2 linked regions of the Drosophila melanogaster genome follow. The protein of the gene in region 1 interacts with the protein of each later gene in a pairwise test. Each region holds a gene or a part of one and is shown in the gene's direction. Other genes may lie near its edges.

Region 1 (6,978 bases):
GGTGGTTATAGTTTATTAATTGGGTAACTTCAAAAGTTAATCTCTTTCCAGGCATTTTATTAAATTTAATAATTCGCTTTAAGCACGTTTGATCAGCAAAATTTCACAAGCAAAGTCAACAAATTTCAATAGAAGCGTTGTAAAAAGCAATGTAAAGCCAAAAATAACGGAAAAATCGAGTTCGTTCTAAGAAAAAGAACAAAACAAAGTAGGAAAACAAAATGTGTAAAGAGTTTCTTGACAGTCTCAAAAGTGTGTAAACTTGGAATTTGTTGTTTATTTTCTTGTATATTTAATATTTTTAATTTGTTTTTTGATTTATAAGTAAAATAAATATTGTTTAATTATATTTTATAAAAAAATTGCGTTTAATTAAGCAAAAAACCCTTTATTTTTAGCTTTAAAGTCAAAAATTCAACTTATTTCACAGTGTGTAAACAGTTTCTTGACAAACTGTATGTGTCGCAAAGAATTCCGGGGAAAAACACGTTTCTTCTCAGTTTATACCCTACGTGCGAGGCATATGATTTGTCCTATCAGCCTGTTGGAACCGCTAACTCATATATTCCTTAATCTAACCAAAAACAAATTTTGCGTCGTATTTGTGAATAATGCACCGATTGATTTGATTGATTGCTTTAAGAGCGGCAGAGAGCAAAGATTACAGATAATAGGATAATGACTATTATAGTCAGAACACAATATTCTGTAAGAATCATGCAACTTATAGTTAGATCTAAATGGGCTTAAGATTATGGGTCTTGGAACAGAGAAGTTTAGCCGACTAACCAAGTCGGGACTATCAAAATATAAGTCTCAAAGCCTCACTCACTAATATACCCTACGTTCTCTTCTTTCAGAGGACGAATCCTATGAACTGTCCTCGGAAATCTGGGCCGTCGACATGGAGATCACTGACAGCGAGACCGACGACGTGCCCGTCAGCAGGAGCGTTAGCGTCAGCGCGAACGTCAGCGGGAACGTCAGCGGGAACGTCAGCGGGAAAGTCAGCGGGAACGCTAGAGGAGCCTTCAGCGGGACCCTCAGCCAGACCGTCAGCGCTACCGTCAGCGGGACCGTCAGCGCGACCGTCATTGGATTGGTCATCAACGAGTTCGTTCCAATGCCATTCAGTGGGACTCTCAGCGGGATCCTCAGCGGAACCCTCAGCGGGACCGTCGAAGGGACCATCAGCCGGACCGTCGACGGGGCCGTCAGCACGACCGGCAGCGGAACCATCGAAGGGACCGTCAGCGGAACCGTCAAGGGGACCGTCCGTGGGGCTATCAACGGGACCATCAGCGGAACCATCAGTGGGACCGCCAGCGGTACCGTCAGAAGGACCGCTGACGGAAAGCTCATTTTTGAGACAGGTGCAAGGTTGAACAATCGAAAATTCATTATCCACGAAATCTGTGGAATGAATTGTGAAATAACTCTTTGAAATTACAAAGTTTTTGAGATACATAACACGCTCTGTGAACAACCATGACTATGAGGTACCCGTTACTCAGCTAGTCGGATTGCGAATAAAATGAGAAAAAATTAAAATTGTTTAAAGATGTGGGTGTGATTACAATCCAAAAGGTGCAAGGTGCAAGGTGAACAATAAAACTAAGAACAATCTAATGTGGGCGTTGGAGTGGTCATGGAAACATGGGTCAACAATCTTGGGCTGCGTCTATGTCTCTGGAATCTGCACGCTTAATCTAAACATTCTAGCTTAAATAGTTCCTGAGATCTCGACGTTCAAACGTACAGACAGGCGGACATCGCCAGATCGACTCGGCTACTGATCCTGATCAAGAATATATATACTTTATATGGTCTGCCTGTTACATACTTTTCAACGAATCTAATAAACCCTTTTACTCTACGAGTAACGGGTATAACTATGTCATTATCTCAAAAACTGTGGATAATTCTTTTAAATAAAATGAAATAAAATGCTGCAGCCCTGGAAAAAAACCTATTCCTATTTACCCACTTATTGTAATGCATTTCTTTGTGGGTATTTTTCGCTGAGGCCAGCCATGGTCACTCTGCTGTAGACAAGTGCATAAACATTTCATCCAGGTGAACAAAAAGTAAATAAAGAACAATTTTAACCGCACTGCAACCCAACGGCGAGCATTAATAAGAAACTTCTCCACGATGGCTTCATTTTTCAACGTTGGCGCCTTGGGAAATGTTTTCTCCACTCCAGTTGGCCAGCGCATAGGTGAGTAAACCACCCTCCCCCCTCCAGCGTAAAAAAAACACCCACCGGAAGCGGGGGTGTGTGTATATGTGGTTAAAGCGTAATATTTTCCACAAATACAACGCATATGCGTTGATATTTACGCATTTACATTGATAGTTATCTGATTAGAGGACGCTTCAAGGCAGTCCCAATCAGACTGGGCCATTGGAAAATTGAATTTTCACAACTTTCTTCGTGCGTTTGCTTGTTTTCTTGTTTTGTTGTTGGTCTCTCACACACACGCGCACATTTCCATGTAGCGATACTCATTTGTTGTTGCCAGACCATTACTATGGCAAAGCGGTCTGATTTGATTTGAAAGGCGGTGGCAACAACGGTGGGCCTCTGATAAGATTAACCCTTATATGAGTATGCGGTTCCAACAGGCAGGTGTGACAAATCAGATAAATGTTTGTTGGTATGCTTTATGAAATTGCTCACCTTTTGGCACGCACACAAAGAGTATTGTTATTGATGCGCTCTTTTATTGTTTGATTGCCTGTTTTCCCTTCACCCCCTCCTGGCGGCCACCTGTTTTGCGCCCTTAGTAATCGCAATTAGTCATCGTTGCCGCTGGCCGCTGGGTTACATAAAAAAATGTGTTAATTTATTTCGTGTTCCCCTTTGGCTCGCATTTTCGCCATAATTTCCATTTGCCGCTGCACACACAACAAACACAGATACACACATTTACGTGCAATCGTGCATATGTATTAGTGCCGTACTAATTTGTTGCTTCGCTTTTTTTATGAGCTCACATTTTGTTATTGTATTGCGGTTGGTTAGCTTTTCCCATATCTCCTATATCTGTTGGATATCAGTGTTACGATATCTGATATCTGAGAAATACACTTTGCGCAATGGTTTCGTTTTGGATTTAAACAAATTGCTTTGTGCATTTTTAATTCGAGCAAGTCATTGCACTTGGTAGATCCTAAATTATAAACGAAAGATAATGCTCGCCCACCTGTTAAAAAACACAGTTTCAGCCGCCCATAAAAACAAACAAAGGAATGCAAATTGTTTACTTGGGTTTTCACACAGAAAACGAAAAAAATAATTACATCTTTCGGATCAAAAACCGCACAATTTACTTGGAATTATAATTAAATATATTATTATAATTAAAATGTAACGAGCGTTTTCAGAAATAAGATACAAATTTAAAAAAAAAAAATAGGGATACCTTTTTTGTTTTTGTATTTATATTACATGAAATATTGTTGCAGTTTTTTTTTCTGGAAGAACGATAGATTTAAAAAGATCTTAAGGTGTCAACTAATACTTACCTTCTCACCTTTCAGAGGCCGCCACCGATGCCAACCTGGCCTCGGAGAACTGGGCCGCCAACATGGAGATCTGCGACATGATCAACGAATCCTCCGACACTGCACGCGATGCTATGCGTGCCATTCGCAAACGCCTCTCCCAGAACGCCGGCAAAAACAACCAGGTGGTGATGTACACGCTGACCGTCCTGGAGACATGCGTGAAGAACTGCGGCAAGGCCTTCCATGTCCTGGTGGCCCAGAAGGACTTCATCAACGAGCTGGTCAAGCTGATTGGGCCCAAGAACGATCCACCAGCCGCCATGCAGGAGAAGGTTCTCAGTCTGATACAAATCTGGGCGGATGCGTTTAAGAACCAACCGGATCTCAACGGCGTCACCCAGATGTACATGGAATTGAAAAACAAGGGCATCGAGTTTCCAGCCAACGATCTGGATGCCATGGCACCCATTTACACGCCACAGAGGGTGAGTCGCTGAGGAATCCTCTTTACTTTAACCATAATAAATGCTTTCATATGCCTTTTAGAGTGTTCCCGAGATGCCCCCTCAGCTGGTGGCCGCTCAGCAGCACACAATCTCGCCTCAACACATGGCTGCCGCTGCTGCCGCCGCAGCTGCAGCCGCAGCTCCACCCAGCACAGGTCCTTTGCATTTGACTCCCGAGCAAGCGGCTAAGCTGCGCTCCGAACTGGAGATCGTTAGCAACAATATGTCCATCCTCAGCGAGATGCTCAGTGTTCTGAAGCCCGGCCAGGAGTCGCCCGATGACTATGCCCTGCTCAATGAGCTCACCTCGACCTGCAAGGAGATGCAGTCTCGCATCGTGGATCTGATTGGACGTGTCCAGGACGACGAGCTCACCGCGGAGTTCCTGCGCATCAATGACGAGCTGAACAATGTGTTCTTGCGCCACCAGCGTTACGAGAAAAATCGTTCGCAGGGCCAGGGTGCTGGTGTTACCTCGCCCTCGGCTGTGCTGGGCGCAGCCATGGGCCTGCCCGGTGTGGGAGCAGCTGGAGCAGGAGCCACCACGGTGGCTACGCTACCACCTCCGCCCACAACTACCGCCGTGAGCAATACGCCGCAAAGTGACCAACTGCTGATCGATCTAATCGAAAGCAGCGAGGAAGCCCAACTGCCACAGAGTTTGGGACAGATCAGCCTGGGTGGTGGAGCACCCATTGGGGTGCAGAGGAGCGCACGACCTGCCGATGAATTCGATATGCTGGCACAGTCGCGCACCGATGGCAACCAGTCAGTAAAGAGTGCTTTCCAATCGAGCTCATCAAGTATTAACAATAATTCTTTTTTTAGTAAATCGGACTTGCTGCGGGACATTCCCTCGGTGGACGCTGCTGCTGGGAGTGTGACTGCCACCGCCTCGCCTTACAAACCAAATCAACCGCAGCAGGCACAGCGCTCAGCCGGCGAACCGCCGGTGGTAAGTAAAGTGAGTAACTAGCCGCCGGACAGCCGGTCTAACTAATGGCGTTCGATTTGTTCCCTTACCTTTTGACCTCGTTTTCGCCATTGATTTACACTATGTGTCTAAATTTGAAAATATGTTTTGGTTCTTTTTTGTTCTATGCAAATTGCGTTTGGTTTTCGTTTCGTTTTGTTGTTCGGTTGGCGCCCACACACAGTCGACGAAAGAGAATGAGATCGACGAGATGGAGGCGTGGTTGGGCAGCTCAGTAAGTAGCCATTCGAATAGCATTTTGTCTTTTTCTAAGCTCATCTTACCATGCACTCGGCTTCAGTTTCTCGATTTACATACTATTCCTTTGCTTCTTAGCTTCTGTCATCCATTTTCGAGTACTTAATATGACTAATGAGTCATTTGTTTCCACCACACAGCACATCGAGGGAATTGAGGAGCTGACCAGCTCGGAGTTTGACAAATTCCTAGAGGAGAGAGCCGCTGCCGCCGAGAATCTTCCAACGATCAGTGCATCGAACTCCGCCGCCAGTGCCACGACAGGATCGGCAGGAGCCGATAGCTTACGAAAGACACCAAAGAAACCGGGCGCCGAAGAGGATCTGCTCGCGCTCTGAGTGATCTCCGCCAGCACCATCATCGGCTCTAATTGTTTACTCTTTCAAATGTTATACACACCCTAACATACTTATCCGTAACGTCTATTTGATAGCAGATACATAGTAACACTTTATGTAAAATGCTTTTATTTTTTACAAAAACAGCAACGATAACTATTGATTATATTCCAAAAAAACAAGCGATCTTTTGTTGGTCTAATTGTAAGCCACGTCTACACATTGATGGTAATTTAATGTATTACGTTACAAGTCTATTTGTTGTTTATTTATACATACATTATAAAGCTAATTTATTTTACAAAATCGAAAAGAAAAACTAAAACAAAATGGAAATACATTTCAAGCACATACCGATTTCGTCTTTGTTTAAATATTTATATTACTAAGGGGCTTAATCTGAGTCGTTATCTATATTCATGACTTGAGTAGCTGCTCCGTAGGCATCGTCCTCGTCATCAGAAAAAATCCTTTGATTATTCTTTGCTCTTGATACTTTCCCGGATCGTTTTTCCAACTGACTCTCTAAATCCCGGATGTGGGCCTTTTTGCTGTTCAAAAGCAGCAGGAATTTCTTGAGAAGTTCCTCCTCCTTCAGCTTGCTGTCCCTCACATACTTTTCATATTCAGCCAGGGATGCGGTTGTCTGGGCGTCGGATTCGGTGGCTGGAGCTGCTTGTGGCTTCTGCTGACCAGCTTCGATGGCTGCATCCAGCATCTGGTAGCAGTTGGAGACTTTTCTAAGCGGAACATCCAAGTACAGCGTTTCGTATCCTTCGCATTTGTACACTTTGAACGCTGGTTTTTCGACATCTTCCATGGATATTTCATAATCAAATCCTTGGAGTCCCATGTGCGTAGTTACGGCACTTTTGCACTCCGCAAAGAAAGCATCGTAGGCCTGTTCCAATTCACTGGCTCCACTTCGAAACTCATCGTATTTTACAATTGACCGGTAGTTTTGATTGTCAGAAGTGGTCAGGATGTCAAACTCCACGTCGTCGTCCATCCATTTGCTTCGGACATAAATAAACGGCTTTACGTCTATTTGACTATGTGAGAGCTGAGAGCGTTGAAGTAATTTAACCACAAAGGTGGACATGTTCGGCAATATTTTAGTTTCACAACTAAATGTAAACAACTGTTGCGGGGTTTTTAAAACAGCTGTTTACAACTGAGTTGTCAGATTGATTAAATGTATGTAATTTTGATAGAGTGCTTATGGCGAACGTTTAAGTGTACGTATATGTACTCTTTTCAGTAAAATTAAATAAATAAATACATCTTCAAATATTTCCGAGAGCTCAAATATTTAAGTTCTAATTAACTTTAACAGTCGATATACAACCCTTCTATTAGCATTCTAATATTTTATTTTATTAAACACGCA
Region 2 (8,354 bases), on another chromosome or scaffold:
CCTCAGTGCCTGGGTCTTGGCCCGGTGTTCTCCACACGGATTGCGGAAGGCTGTCGCCGGGTGGGGAACTGTGGTTGTGGCTGTCAAAAGGTCGTGACTCATTGCAACGGCTGTCAATTAGCTGGCCCTGACCCCGCCTTGCTTACCTTTGCTCAGACCCGTCAGGACGCCTGTGTGACTGTCCACGGAGACCTCCATGGAATCGTTCGAGCTGCACTCACTGTGCGATGACGGGATTCCAACCTTGCCACGCTCGGCGATGGCTAAGGGGTCACGCGACACCGTCACACGCTGCAGGTCGGCACTTGCGCCTGCTTGGTGGTAGTTGAAGCTCTGCGCCGTCAGCGGATTAGCCTGGCTGATTCCCAGCCCGTATCCGCCAGGCTTCTCGCCCAGTTGGTGCTGTTGATGCCACCGCAGGCGCCTCAAGATGTCTTCCTCCGAGTCGGAGCTGGTGTTCTCGTAACGCCTTTTGCGGGCTGCGGGATACTTAAAAGTTAGCCAGTCAGCCCCAATCCCCACGAAACACGGTACTCACTGATCTTCTGCACACACTTGACTGCAAGGTGGCGCTCGTCGCAGCAGTTGATGGCATGGCGGTAGTGAAAACAGCACTTGCGACTGATGAAAAGAAACAACAGGAGCAGTAGAACGAGGACGCCGAAAAAGGCGCCCAGCAAAGTGGTCACCTCGATGGTGCCTGAAAGATTTAACAGTCACGGCTCAGGTCAGAATGGTGTGGTTTGTGGGGTGCATATACATTTTTACGTACCGAGCGTCGGAGTGCTATCCAGTCCAGAAGCGGAGGTAACAATCATCTTGGCTCATGCGAGGATCCTGGCGAACACGAGTCTACTACTCGCAACTCATTGCACCCGGACCACAAGTCAAGTCACTAAAAATTATTCTCACTGCAGCGTGAAAGCAAAAGCTCAGGAATTTGACAGCACAGCGTCGCAGGATAACTGGAATCGATTTTTCGCAAGACAACGACTAGGGATCAAAGCAAAAAAGTCGTTTGGAAGCTGGTGTACTCCGAATTACCCGTTTTTTTGGCCCTTCCGTATTTCGGAACCGTTCATCTGAGATTTGGTTGCAAAATCGTAAAACAAATTATAGAAGGAACAACTATACTGTTCTATCCTATTAATCACTTTCGATTTCTTGAAGGCACGATCCCAAAACTGCGAATCATGCAACGAGAGATTCAGAAATAAAAATCAAACGGCTCAGGATTTAATTCAACTGAATTAGGATGAGCTGCCTTAAACTCGATGGAAAAACTGCTTCAAAGCAAGCACTTTGGAGCTTAATCCCTCCACCCCCAGTGTGTGTACACACAGGGCTCGGAAAAGCTCCGTTTCGACAGTTGCATCGCAGTAACAACTGTTGCTTATTTTTTTGTGTTTGGGAGGATGATTTAAGCTGAAAACTTAGAAACGGGATTCTTTTTTATTGGTTGTGCTGTGCTGTGATTTCTTGAATTGTAATTGTTTAGAATGTCTCGAATAAAAATTCTCTCCGTGTCGTATGCATTCGAAGGTTTAAACGTTAGTCGTAGCCACGGTTTCATAAAATGTTAAGACCAAGACCGTTTGCCTGTTATTGATGTTCAAAAATTTGAACCAAATAATTAAGAAAAGCGGAATTAGTGCATCAGAATTAATGCACATTGTATGCTCCATTCAGGTAATTGTCCGGTTGTTTAAAAAAGAGCCTTATAATTTAGGTCAAAATTTTTAGAGCTACTCATGCTTACATACATGAAATGCGCTGTTATTCGATAGCAGATAACACTCCGAGCAGCAGGTATCGATAATCGCAACAATCGCTGTTCCAGCGAAAGTCATCGCTTTGACGGCACATCGCAGATTGCCCACCTCTAAAATAAATGCCTAATGAATTGGCTCAGTTCCGTTGTGCGCTTAATTTTTTGTCGCTGCTCAAACTGAATGTTTCCGCCTGTCAGAACACCGTATGCAAAACCGTGACCGCGCCCACGCCGTGCTTGAAAGTCCAATACATTTAATCCGCAATTGTGACGCAAGTAAATTTTGGATGGCCAATGCCACTGGGCAAGTGTGAGTGCCGTGTGTGCCAAATTCCGCTGAGACGCTTCTGATAATATGATTATGGCTAAACAGCTAAATATAGTGCTCAGTGCCCCCCACAAAGCGGAATACCGCGGTGGTACCGTGATACCACCTCCTTGGCGTCGATTACTTCGTTTCTTTATTGCTGGTGGAGCTAGCAGGAGGAAGAAAGCCAGTCTACGACGTCATCTTATGTCGTTTCGCTTTTCATTTCGCAGCAGTCACTCGCACACAATGAAAATCGAGAGGGTGGGATGGGGGTGGAACAGGGATTTGAAAACTCGATTTCCCGTACCAAGAGCCCAGACCAGAGTTGAGCGCGTGTCAAAACTTTTCGACACAAAGCAGCACGAAGCCGAACTGGAATCTGGCAAAGTGCAGTCTAAATACATATAATATAACGCTTTTGTATGAAAATAAAAGTTTGTCTAACCTTGAATCTAACAACCAAGGCATTTTTCGTTAGGTATATATGTGTACTTCCAAATATATAAAATATCCTCGCAGAGCTTCTAGAAAATATTCTATTGTAAGCAAGTTTTTGCAGTGGACCAGTGAGCAATGGCGTGGGAATCCCAGCTGTAGATGCTTGGAATTTCTACAAAAACTTACAATGTCGTTTCCCGGTCTTTTGAGCTTTTAAGCTAGTATTCAACTTTCAAGTCAACTCCATTTCTGTCAATCCTAATTTCTTCATACCCTTGCAGAATGTATATTAATTTCAGTTAGAAGGTTTTAACGCAGTGGTGGAGATATTTGCGACCATATCAAGTATATCTATTCCTGATCAATATCGCCAGCCAAGTCAATATCTAATTCACATTTTTTGCCAGGGTTTAAATATTTGCTACAATATAGCTCAAGCAATCGAAGTACATATGTATGTATAGTGCTCTTCGATTGGGTCAACAAACCAAGCGACTCGCTCTTCCAGCTCTTTGTCGCCGTGTGCATTTAGTCATTGATCGCGGGAAGGAGTCGCTGTGGGCCATGTCACCATCTCCATTGACAACGCAGCCTTTCTTTATTGGTGTCATTAAAATTTGTTAAATGGAAAGGTCATTAGACACAGCGGTGAAACCGGTTTGGTTTGGCGGCTTAATTTTCGGTTAACTCGACTGCATAGATTACGCACCAGCCACTTCAATTGGCTGCCAAATACCTTATGCTTATTGGTATGTCTTCACTTGCAGTATGTATATTTGCTGGCAACCACCCACCAACAAAAAAAAACTTGACCCAAAAGCGGCGAATGTTTATTTTCTCTTTATACTTGACTGACGTTCATCTTGGTGGCCAGAGTTTACTGCCAATGTCGTTCTTAGTCAGTTAAAGTGGGAGTAGATACAATTATCTTGAATCCAAGCTACCGCCTATTTTCATCCCGAACGTATTACTAGATGTTACATACTAATAGAAACAACGCTTAAAACTGGTAAATAGGTTTTTTAGTTGAACTATCAATCGTATTGTAAACTGTTAAACCTCATTGACAATTTTATAGACACAAAACGCTGATTTAGGGCTACCGCTGGAAAATTCTATTATCTGTTAGTGAATTCGTCTAAATTCATTTGTAGATCAATAAGTGAATAAATGTTTATTGTTCGTCAATTAAGTGCCATTCCACTGGTCTGTGCCTGCATACATTTAAATGTTTTTACATTGTATATTCTGCAACCACAGCACAGTTTGTGACGGTGGTCGTGCAAGTGTTTGGAGAAATCGTACGGCTGTTTCCAGGGATTGCATACGTAACTTGAGGATTTTTCTTGCTGTTTCACTTCTGTTTATTGTCTCCCCCAAGTGCACTAGGTACAAACATCGAGTCTTTCGTGGGTTAATTTCTGTGTGCTTCCAGTTTTTATGGTCCACTGCGGAATCGCACGAATGAAAAACCTCGCTTAACAATACTTAACTATCCGTATTTTTTCTATTTCAGAAGCAACATGAGCGTTTTGCGGGAGGAAACGACAACTTCCAGCCAGAGGGAGATAAGCACAAACGGCGGTGGGTTGGATTTCCCCGCAGAAGTGACGTCGCTGATTGCTGGCAACAGCTTTTGCTTAACGCCAGGAAATAACGGCGGGATCGGTGCCCAGAAAAAGGTCACTACTGGAGCGGGTCTGAACAGTACACAGAGAGGTGAGCGAGATCATCGTCCGAAATATTGAATATCCGTTAATCTAGGTTGTTTATAAAGTCTATTTTAAAGAACTTGGTATTATAAACTCAAAATTCACATTAAATTCCAAATCAGTGAGTGAAATGTTAAATAAATACAAAACACAATAATAAATCAATTAGGTTAATTTTGTACATTACGCCTTTTATAATTCCCTGCAAAGTTAAGAAACCTCTAAGTTTCTTCTGTGTTGTACTAATTTTGATATAATAAACATGTTATATTGCATTTTTTGATCTTAAGGTTCCTTTTATTTTTAGCCACTATAATTACGAAAAGATTTAATCTATTCAAACTGACTGATTTCACGGTCAGTAATCGACTTAATTTTATTTGTTACGATGCCTTTGTCCGAGATATATCATTGAAATAACGGAAACTATTTACCTAACTCCCGAATTATATAAGGTGGGCAAAATATATACTGTTTGTTTAAAATTAATATTACAGTATAAAGTACATATGTATATTAAGTAAGTATATGAGTATACATACATCTGATTAAAAAGTTGAAAATGTTCAATAGTGTGGGCGTGGCAGTTTTAATCAATAGAAATTAACAATATATACAGTCAAATGACAACAAATTAGGGGTGGGAGTGTCAGCTTTGGTTAGTTGCAAAACAAGCTTGCTTCTTATTATGAAATTTATAGTATCCGAGACCTCGACGGACATACGGACATTGATAGATCGACTCGGCTAGTGATCCTAATCCAGAATATGTATATTTTCAAGGTTCGGTGACAATCCCTCAACATTTAGAAGCATTTCTGAGTAATTTCCTTGCTCTCCTTACTGGCCGTTTATCGAAAGGGGCATCGAGTTTGCTCAATCTATAAAAACCAAGTATTTGCTTGACTTAAAGAAAACCGTTTGGTTTTAACAATTGAAAAACGAACCAAAATAGTCTTAAAATTGCTTCAAATTGCCCCAGACGTTTTTCTGGGCTAAAGTAACTTAGACAACTCTAGTTTAGCCGCCGAGTTGAGCGTTACGTCCGGAATTGTTGAATTCGTGTAATAGTTTTCACTTTGTCAATGCTGGAAGTGAAAGCCGTGAAGCCTTTAGCTACGTAATCTGTCCACACTAGGACCTGCACTATTGAAATTGTCAAGATGACCTCAAATTAAATTCTCCTTCAGCTACGGATGCCACCAAGCGCAAGAAACTAAGGTCGCGTAACGTACCACCTTCCCCATTGGCCCAAAAAACTGAAGCAGCGGCGACCTCTCTTAACCAAACGAACATCGGTGAGGTCAAGAGAACCGATATTAACTATTCCAACGATCACCTTGATGCCTGGTTGGAGAGCTGTTTACGTGATGCCACCAACGCCCAATTGTCTTCTTCATCTGAGTTTTTGGACTTCATACCGCCCACAGCACCAGCTCATAAGCAAATGTTTTTGACTCAACAGCAGCAGCTGCCGCAGCTTAAACAGCAACTACAGCAGCAGAGGCAACAGGAATTTTCGAAGCGAACCCAGCCTTACGGAGTGGGTCCAGGCACACCGTTTAGCCTGGGGATACAGCGCGTGAGTAGTTGCTATTGCAAGATATTTTGTACAACGCACACCCAACTTTATTTTATTTTTACAGAATTCGAACTCTCTTAGCCATCGATATCCGATGCTCTTCCCACCCCAGAGCCTTAACAGCTATGGTGATGGTGGCCAGGAGTTTGCAAGCTTGCCTCCCCTGAACAACATGATGGGAGGGCCGGAAGGGCTTGGGTGCGATCAGGAACCGAATTCGACGGATGTGCTGGATGGCAGCGAAAGCAATCCCAACTTTACCAAGGGGTAAGCAAAAACAATAAATTCGTAATGAATTATTAAAGAGCCGTACTTACCGTGTGATAACAGATTTCGGTTCAGCGATCCGTGCCTACTGAACCCCTCCGATAATGACTCTAAGCTGAGTGGCCAGAATACACCAGAGTGTCGAAATGTGAACAACAATGGCAGTGGCTGTGATCTGGCACATCAAAACAAATTTTTCGCGGCTCTAATGGAACAAATAAACATATTGCACGACACCAATTCCAAGATCTGCCGGAATTTGCATAATACAAAAGGTGTGTGGTTTGTAGGATTGTGTCCAGTTTAGATGTCACGATGCTTCCCAAATTACGACAAAATTACACAAATCTCTGATTTATTTTACTTGTACTCGTATGCTAATTAGAATGTGTTGCCACCCATTTCCTCTTTCTATGTACTCCCTTGCACTTGCAAACACAATCATAGTTGATATCGAAGCTTTAAAGCACTCCCCTAATAGCCAGCACTGGGCAGGTGTAGGCTTTGGGGGCATGCGGCACCGTAGAGATAGCTTAAGCGGGCTAAGCACACAAAGTCAACCTCTTATTCTTGGCAGTGGATTGGGAGGGACACACAGCCCAGCGCCCACATTTCACTCAGGTATAACATAAACGCTACCCCCAACTATGCCATGCAAAGGAGTGAGTAATAAGTTATATTCGCTTCCCATTTTTCAGGCGCCTACACTCCAGGAATGATGACGGATGTCGTGCGGGAAGTGAAGGAGGCAGCGCGCATACGCGAAGATGCACTGCTAAGTCGGTAAGAAGTCGAAAATTAAAAAGTATATTTAGAGTGTTGATTACATTTTGTTCTCAGAGTAAAATTAATGGTTGAAGAACGTCAGTGTTCCTTAAACGAGGGAAATGTCCGAATTCTGAGAGATATAGACGATCTAAAGGTGAGTGCTAAAATAAATGTGCATAAAAAGCTAAAAGCTAAAAATTCGATTTCGGTTGTAGACCCAAGTAATGCAGTTGCGACTGGAGAAAAAGGAGACTAACAAACGCCTCTCACATCTGGAATCCGAAAACAAGTGCCTTCGTCAAGCTCTGGCCGGTTGTTATAACCAGCGGCCAATCAGTAACGACATTATTTACGAAAATGACCGATCCCATGGATTCCGAAAGCCATTTCCGAATGGGGGTGGCGGCGGAGTTGTGGGTTCCGGTGCCCTCGGAATACGACGGGCAAAATCTTTAAACCTTCATTATGGAACAATGCATCAAACGCCTATCCAAACGACACACTCTTTGGAAGAGGACGACGAAATAGAAGAGGAGCAGTTAGTAGAGCAAGTAGGACTGGACGGAGAAGAATTATCCCTGACTGGCAACAACAGTTTATCGTGTTTGAACATCGGTCATCAATCTCCCTCCAACTTAACGCCTCACTCACAGATACCTAAATCAGAAAAGCAAGCAGTTAGAAGCCCTCCCTCTTTTGCGCTGGCTTCTGACCAGATCAATCCGGGAATTCCACCGCCATTGCTACCACGAAAGAAGGACCACGCTCATCTAAAGCGGGAGCGCAGCGAGGCGGCCTCCGTACGTAAGGAGACAAATCAACGTATAATTGCGTGGGTGTAGTATATGCTCTGTTCTACATTTTTAAACTAACCCATCACCGTTAACTTTCACTTGCATGGACGTTTTAAATATACGTTTAGTCACATTCTACTAATCATTTTAATCACTATCTGAGCTTGGTAACTAATCCTAAAACTTACAAATTGTACACTTCCTTTTTATCTTTCAATGGTTATTTATACTGGGCAACATTATAGCCTTGAGAAATTGGTTGAAGACCTAAGTGACCAGGTGAGAGGTAAGACAAAGAGGAACCCGACCGTATCAAGCACTGCAGCGGACATAACGCTATCATCGAAATTCAGCGTGGCGGACGCTCCGATTACGGACTTATAGTTTTAGCTATAAGCCGCCTCAAAAGCAAAAGGGTTGCGCCAACACAAAATGCGTGTCACTCACTTATAGCATTTGGATACACGACAATTATCACATCAACGACACTTCATCTTATGTTTCAAAATTTATTATAACCCAATAACCTGTGCGTAAGCTCAAATGTATTAACTAGAATGCTTTTACCAAGTGTCAACTGTAATTTAAAATTTTGAAACTCATTGTTTTTTGTCTACTAAAAATAAATGTCACTAAATTTTTAAATGAATATGGTCCATAAATTATTTAATTCATTTTGAGTTAATTGAGATGCATTGCACAACAGTGTTTG

What was found. Proteins that work in one complex are often made in the same cells at the same time.
Region 2: the proteins of CG3529 (region 1) and CG9795 interact in a two-hybrid assay, tested with the Drosophila melanogaster proteins (one large-scale study listed by BioGRID).

Annotation. Positions count from the first base shown.
Region 1 is NT_037436.4:9,444,842-9,451,819, forward strand, and holds CG3529 (uncharacterized protein), read left to right. Parts: upstream 1-2,022; 5' UTR 2,023-2,154; coding exon 2,155-2,221; intron 2,222-3,546; coding exon 3,547-3,998; intron 3,999-4,059; coding exon 4,060-4,787; intron 4,788-4,847; coding exon 4,848-4,983; intron 4,984-5,176; coding exon 5,177-5,227; intron 5,228-5,390; coding exon 5,391-5,588; 3' UTR 5,589-5,944; downstream 5,945-6,978. Other genes in the region: Srg3 (Sting-regulated gene 3), read left to right, coding at 861-1,444; CG3448 (uncharacterized protein), read right to left, coding at 5,983-6,690.
Region 2 is NT_033777.3:4,317,810-4,326,163, forward strand, and holds CG9795 (uncharacterized protein), read left to right. Parts: upstream 1-1,873; 5' UTR 1,874-1,977; coding exon 1,978-2,081; intron 2,082-4,035; coding exon 4,036-4,238; intron 4,239-4,538; exon of another isoform or gene 4,539-4,686; intron 4,687-5,421; coding exon 5,422-5,813; intron 5,814-5,877; coding exon 5,878-6,080; intron 6,081-6,143; coding exon 6,144-6,355; intron 6,356-6,527; coding exon 6,528-6,701; intron 6,702-6,778; coding exon 6,779-6,863; intron 6,864-6,920; coding exon 6,921-7,002; intron 7,003-7,063; coding exon 7,064-7,680; coding exon of another isoform or gene 7,681-7,690; exon of another isoform or gene 7,691-7,887; coding exon 7,888-8,026; 3' UTR 8,027-8,284; downstream 8,285-8,354. Other genes in the region: Syt14 (synaptotagmin 14), read right to left, coding at 1-80, 147-479, 539-700, 773-818.